Linked DNA regions of Xenopus tropicalis. The protein of the gene in region 1 purifies or fractionates together with the protein of each later gene. This does not show direct contact. Links are inferred from orthologs where the notes say so. Each region holds a gene or a part of one and is shown in the gene's direction. Other genes may lie near its edges.

Region 1 (3,755 bases):
CCCCCCGCATCATTGTCATGTGACGCATAGCTACGGCAGCCATCTTAAGGCCTGGCATATTAACCTCAACATCTGTCTTGCCAATCTAACGCATTCTTTCTGTATCCCTTATTTCTGAAGTATTTTTTTTTATTGTACTCTGTATCTTTTTATAAAAACTGTGTTGTGATTCATGATTTTATGTTTTTATGTTCTGTGAAACAAATGTTAATTATGAATTTACTATGAACTTGGTTTCAATAAAGCTCTTTGAAACCTTATTGCTGAAGTATTGCTTTCATAGTCAGTGCAAAGCTCCTGAGTGAAGGGTAAAAATGCAAAATGTCTTGGGCCCCTTTAGGGCAAAGACACACGGAGCTACTAGTAGCAGCTACTTGTCACGGCTACTAAAACAGACAATGCTGATCATTTACTGATAATTGTCTCTACATGTGTTTTAGCAGAGGCAATTCTCAGTATTGTCTATGGCAGGGTATTTTCTGGAGTTTAGTAGCTGCTACTAAGTATCTCCGTGTGTCTTTACCCTTATCTGTGTCTGAGCAAAGTGGTTTACATAAATGAATCAATCGCACCCTGCATAATCCACAGTTGCTCAACTAAAGAATAGGTAATATGTATCTATAGCATAAATAAATTTGAAGCAACTGGACTTGTTTAGTTCTCAGTTGCTTCAAATTTATTTATACTAGATATACCATGACCTGGATGAATGAAAATCTTCATAGACATGTATCTATAGCCTTCCCGAGGCTGGAAGCTCCTTATAACGTCCTTTCTGCCCAACCCTATCTCTGGATTAATGTTTCCAATCTGTCTTTGTCACATGCTATGCTTTACCCCTCACATAAAGGTTTAAGTGTTAGCGCCCTCAAGGCTAATGGCCGCCGTAGACACCAGCGGTGTGAGTCATGTGAGGAGTTCGCTGGCGTGATGACGACACCACACCCATTGAATGGCAGGGAGAAAAAGAACGCGGCATACTATTGGTTGAAGCTACAGAATAGGCGTGTCTTTCCTTGTTTTTGATTGGGCCGGCACCGCGTGACGTCAGAAAGCGGGTTGGTGGTGTGGGTGCGTAGTATTGGTGGGAGGGGACGGCGGTGCGGGGTGAGGGGATCCGCACTGTACTACAGGCACAAGGGGAGAGTCGTACGGACACGGGCATTGGGAGAGTAGTAAGGGGAGGAGGGGCGCTGAAGCAGAGGGCATGTTGCCATACAGCCGAGCTGTCTGAGAGGGGAGCCGTATTGGACATAGCCGGTGCTAATCCCTGTGGCAGAGGAGAGGGTGGAGGACCGCTATGAGGTGAGAGCTGTGCCGGGGCGCATTATTATCACCATTAAATATGATTAATGCTTTGCCTGGATTATGTGCGGGGTGGAACAGCTGCAGCCACCAATGGCTCGGCAAATGGCTGAGGGATATGGAGTTGGGCGGCCAACATGGGATTTGGGGATTCAGTTAATTACATGGCAATGCTTGCAATTCTGTATGTCAGTGATTTCCCCATGCTGATGTCCTGCAATGGAATAAACCAACATAGGGGAGCACTCTAGGGAGACAAGCAGTGCTGGCTGGGGGGCTCCACCCAAGGGAGAATGGCATAGCCATCTACCAATTCATTAATACAATGTATCTGCTACCAACAGCAGCATCCTTCTGTCTATATGCCTTGTGTTTCTGACTCCTGAAACAATGTAGCAGAACCCTGGGCAGATGTGACATTGCAACACTGTTTCACAAGTCAAGGCTAAACACATAAATGTTGCCTGAAAAGCAATTACATTTACTCAAAACTTTGAGCTTTAACATAAAGTGGAAACCTACTTACAACTGCATATTCTTCAACTAATAATAACTACAAAAGATATAAACACATTTTATTGACCCAAGGTCCTTGTAATGCTTCTATAGGGGGCCAGTACATTGACTTACATAGGCATTGAGACCCCATGGTTTTCTTTGTATATATAAACCGTCATATAGAGGGGCACCTCTCTGAACAAATATGGCTTACTGCTATGTATGTATGTATACAGGATCAGGGCAATAGGCATTATAGCTAAAAATATGTGTTTCCTAAATTTCAGTTTGTCATTATTATTTGGATTTTAGATGGAATTTAAATTAAGTAGCAGTGCCATATTTATCATGAATTGTAATGTAAAAATGATCTATATCTATCTATCCTTCCTCCTGGTAAGGGCGGTCCAATTTCTGTTTGAAGTGCGTTTCCCAGGTATTCATTTTTTAGGAATCTGTTGCCTTCTAAGGTGTCATTTAGTCTCAGCACTTTGATTTTCAGCCAATGTACAGGTATGGGATCCCTTATCCGGAAACCTGTTATCCAGAAAGTTCCAAATTATGGAAAGGCCATTGCCCATATACTCCATTATAAACAAATAATTCTAATTTTTATAAATGATTTCCCTTTTCTCTGTAATAATAAAACAGTACCTGTACTTGATCCCAACTAAGATATATTTACCCCTTATTGGGGGCAGAACAGCCCTATTGGGTTTATTTAATGGTTAAATGATTCCCTTTTCTCTGTAATAATAAAACAGTACCTGTACTTGATCCCAACTAAGATATAATTACCCCTTATTGGGGGCAGAACAGCCCTATTGGGTTTATTTAATGGTTAAATGATTCCCTTTTCTCTGTAATAATAAAACAGTACCTGTACTTGATCCCAACTAAGATATAATTACCCCTTATTGGGGCAGAACAGCCCTATTGGGTTTATTTAATGGTTAAATGATTCCCTTTTCTCTGTAATAATAAAACAGTACCTGTACTTGATCCCAACTAAGATATAATTACCCCTTATTGGGGGCAGAACAGCCCTATTGGGTTTATTTAATGGTTAAATGATTCCCTTTTCTCTGTAATAATAAAACAGTACCTGTACTTGATCCCAACTAAGATATATTTACCCCTTATTGAGGCAGAACAGCCCTATTGGGTTTATTTAATGGTTAAATGATTCCCTTTTCTCTGTAATAATAAAACAGTACCTGTACTTGATCCCAACTAAGATATAATTACCCCTTATTGGGGCAGAACAGCCCTATTGGGTTTATTCAATATTTAAATGATGTTTAGGAGATTTAAGTTACGGAGATCCAAATTATGGAAAGATCCCTTATCCGCAAAACCCCAGGTCCTGAGCATTCTGGATAGCAGGTCCCATACCTGTACTTGCACCTAGATGGTTAGCCCTAGGGGAATTTCTGTGCTCTAGAGTGTAAGCTCTTGTGAGCAGGTTGGGGGGCACTTGTGCTAGTTTTTCCTCACTGTTGTGGAAGCTCTAATGTTTGATAAATGATGAAAAGGCTTGGCTATATGGGAAGTCTCACCCCCTTACACAGTGACCCCACCCCCCCATGTTTGTAGGTCACCGCTCCCATCACAGCTTTGGCAGGTTTTTATATTGCCTCCTTCCTAGTGATAACGTGCAGCGCTGGATTAGGAGACATGACGCAAGCAGCTAATGTTTCAGAGCAATCGTGGTATCTGGGCTTCGTACACTTTCTCATTCTCCCTATGAAGGGATCCTCTGTGAGGAACGACCCACCCTATTCTGGCTTGTACTCCTATTCATTCATTGCTTGTCCTTTCATTGCTGTTGGCTGTGCTGAGTAATTTGGTGTACTACCAACATTAGAGATCATTGTACGGTCGTATTTCGAAATAGTCTCGCTACTAACCATTCGTGTTCCGACCTTTTGCCAATCGTCAGGGACAGATAA
Region 2 (3,655 bases), on another chromosome or scaffold:
ATAGTGTTTTTGGCAGATATCAGCGTCGCCTTCTTAGATTCTTACTCTTCTATGTTAGTTAAGCAATAGTACTGTCTTGGAAATGACCCACTACATTATTGCTGTAAAAAATTGATAAATAGGTCTCCCATTCTCCTGTAATAAATTGCCCTTTCCTTTTCAGTATAATTTACGCATGCACAGACAACATGTTGTTAGGTCTTAAAGTAATCTGTATGCTGACTTTACATTGACAGCTAAAACATTTTAACTTTCTTTAGTTATGTTAATACATGAATAATTATTTGTGAATGTAATTGTTATTTAAACTGGTCTTTTCGTATTCTCTGCCCTTATTTTATTGATATGTGTGAATGCAGATCATCTTTTTCCATCTGTATAAATGATGTGGTCACATCTTTAAAATCAATATGAAAAAAAATTATGTTCTTATGGGGGAACAGGGAGACCCACCCTAAGCAGCAAAGGGGCCTAATTTTAGGACCCTACCTTTAGATAAAAATTCCTTCCTTAAAGCTTTGTACTGCCGTTTGCCAGCCAGACCCCTCCGACTTAAATCTGCACCTGATCCATCCCTAGCAACTGTGTTGGCACTGTACTTGAATTCCACACTAATATGGCCTGAACTCTCATGCATTATTAACCTCCAACACATTATGCTGTAGTAGAGTGGAAATCCTGTGACCTAGTACATTACTGAGTATGGCATAATATCCTTCCTTGGATCCTGTTTTGAGTTTCTAAGTAAATGTTTTTGTAGAAATATTAATTGAATTTTTTTAATGCGTTATTGTTTCCATTTTACTGACTATTTTATTTCTTTTTGCTTCCCTAATTTGTACATCCCAGGAGTTTTTTGTAGCCCTGCAGCTGGTAGCATGTGCACAGAATGGAATGGAAGTCTGCCTTAGTAGTCTTAAAGCTGTGGTTCCCCCTCCCAGATTTGTAGGTGTATATTTTGCTTTTATGTATATGTTTATATTCTGTTTCCTTAAATAATTTACCGACCTGTTAATAATTGACATTTTTAATATTCCCCAAAATGACGTTACGCATTAGAATATGTAAGTACCAATGCATTGCAATTATTTGTTACTTAGTTTGTAAAAGTGTGTTGCTAGTTTTGTAGGGAGTATTTTAGTCTGCAGTGTGATATCATATTAATTTCTTTTATATAAGATTGGGAAATTATATAACTGAATCTTTAAGACATTTAGAGCCAGGTTTTAACATGGCCACTCGGTTAAATCTGTTAAGGTACATGCTCAATGTATTTGTCTGCTGTTGATAAGTGAATTCCCCACCTGTTTCTGCAGGATGCAGGAAGCCCACCCTTATTTGGAACAGCAGTAACTACAGACATACCATGGGCTGTCAAGGTAAGTGGTAGAGCATGTCCTATGTTTTTAGATGGAGTAACCTAGTCAAACCTCCAACTGTCATAGAATGTGTATAGTATGTTTTGTTTGTACATCATGTCCAGATGTTTAGTAACAATTTTTATTTTATTTATTTTTTTACATATGGCAGCCAGACGAAAAGGCCAAATACGATGCCATATTTGACAGTTTAAACCCAGTGAATGGATTCCTGTCTGGTGATAAGGTTAAACCTGTGTTGCTTAATTCAAAACTTTCTGTGGAAATTCTGGGAAGAGTAAGTACTGACTCTGACACTTCACTTCCCTTTAATCCCATCTAGCTTTTTCTGTAGCCATGAAATTTTCTTTATCATTTTTAGGTTTGGGAGTTAAGTGATATCGACCATGATGGTTTATTAGACAGAGATGAGTTTGCTGTTGTAAGTACATCTTTTTTTTTTTTTTAGTTTATTACTGTGTACCATGAAATAACTTCATAGTTAATCATTTGTGGCCCTCAGACTGATAAAAGCTAAAGCTGTCCAAGAATGCTGGTAATTCTTTCTAAAAAAAGTTATCGTGGAAATAAAAAATGACCAGCACAGCCCAGGACTAGAATCAGTACCTGGAACCTCCCACATTCTATCAACTTTGAGATGTTGGTCTGGAAGGTCATTGCTATAAAAATTACTGTAGGCTTTTATGTTTGTTTCTTGAAAACTGCACAAGAAAATACAATTAACAAAACTCAGGCCTATGTGACGCCCAAGGTTTAAGGCTCTGGCAGATTTTGTCTGCTGCCCAGTGTAGACTAAAAGTGGTCAAAATGCCAGTCTGCCGGTTACCACTTTTGATAGTAATGAATGAAACGTAATGTATCTGCTGGAAAACATGCCTTGTGCTATTGTCCTTCGGTTTTCTGTATGTGCAAAGCAAGACAGTTTCCCTTGTTTGGGGTGCAAAGCTTCCAAAGTGGAATGTAGTGGAAGCATTTTTGTCAAAACCCAGAGCTGGCTGAAAGTGGGATGTCCCTGGTACCAACCCAGCCAGCTGCTTCTGTGCTGTGTTTTTCAAAAGTATGTTAAGATAATGCACAAACAAGGTTAATCTATGTAAAGCTATGCTGAATGTGTTGCACAGCATACATAAATACATTTTTTGTGCACTTTTAAAGGGTGCATGTATTTCACTTTTCACTTTAAAAAAAAAAAAAAAAATGCCCTGCATTTATCTTGTTTTGTCATGAAAGTTGGTTTTTATTTTTCCTTGGCCACTGAAAACCTAATATTATAGCAAATTTTTCTTGAGGATAAATCTTTAGAGAGCAAAATATTAAGTGGTTTGCCTTTAATCTCACAGGCGATGTTTCTTGTATACTCTGCTCTTGAGAAAGAGCCAGTTCCCATGTCATTACCTCATACTCTGGTACCACAATCCAAGAGGAAAGTCTCCATTTCTTCTGCATCTTTACCAGTCATTCCCACTTTACCTATGCCACCTTCTAAAGAGTCGCGGCAATCGCTGCCACCAGTTGGAATTTTGCCCACAAAGGTTCAAGTGACCCAGGTAGGTTTTTTTTTAACTTTTTATACTACATATATCAATGTGTAAAAGATTTGGTCAGATCATTTACTTAAAGTGGACCTGTCATCCAGACATAAAAAGCTGTATAATAAAAGCCCTTTTCAAATTAAACAAGAAACCCAAAATCATGTTTTTATTACCACATCCATACCCATTATAAAAGCATTTTAAAATCCCAGCTGTCAATCATATAATGCCTGCCCCGCCTCTATGCCTTAGGCATAGAGGTGGGGCAGACAGTTACTTTCACTTTCAGTTCAGAACCTCTTAGATGTTGCTGCACCCCTCACATTCCCCTCCCTCCTCACCATGTAATTGTGTAACCAGTGCATGGACATTGGGCCTCAGGTCCCCCCATACTGGCACAAAAAAAGGTTATTGGCAGGATGCAATGCCTGCTTTGATAACAGTGTCCACAAAATGGCCCCTGCCTGCTTACTGCAATTGTGAATTCCAAGGCTGAAGAAAATAAGATTAAAATAATTTATACAGTGTAAGTAAAGTTTATTTTGCTTGCCAAACACAATAGAAAACAATTTGAAATTATTTCTTAAGGTGACAGGTCCGCTTTAAAGACTGGAAAAGTATGCAATCTGTTAATTGGCAAAACATGGTTTGTGAGTTCCATCCTGTGGTTTCTGAAATTTCTAGAGAAATAACTAACCTGTGAATAGAGCATGTTTCATTTACCCAATTTCTTCTGCAAGCTTC

What was found.
Region 2: the proteins of itsn1 (region 1) and eps15 purify together in Homo sapiens (co-immunoprecipitation; 3 studies listed by BioGRID and IntAct, with this or other methods). This does not show direct contact. The link is inferred for Xenopus tropicalis from reciprocal best matches to the Homo sapiens genes ITSN1 and EPS15.

Annotation. Positions count from the first base shown.
Region 1 is NC_030678.2:14,138,299-14,142,053, forward strand, and holds the start of itsn1 (intersectin-1), read left to right. Parts: upstream 1-1,071; 5' UTR 1,072-1,305; intron 1,306-3,755. UniProt on the Homo sapiens protein: Adapter protein that provides a link between the endocytic membrane traffic and the actin assembly machinery. Acts as a guanine nucleotide exchange factor (GEF) for CDC42, and thereby stimulates actin nucleation mediated by WASL and the ARP2/3 complex.
Region 2 is NC_030680.2:96,305,633-96,309,287, reverse strand, and holds part of eps15 (epidermal growth factor receptor substrate 15), read left to right. Parts: intron 1-849; coding exon 850-945; intron 946-1,316; coding exon 1,317-1,379; intron 1,380-1,530; coding exon 1,531-1,656; intron 1,657-1,740; coding exon 1,741-1,800; intron 1,801-2,719; coding exon 2,720-2,926; intron 2,927-3,655. UniProt on the Homo sapiens protein: Involved in cell growth regulation. May be involved in the regulation of mitogenic signals and control of cell proliferation. Involved in the internalization of ligand-inducible receptors of the receptor tyrosine kinase (RTK) type, in particular EGFR.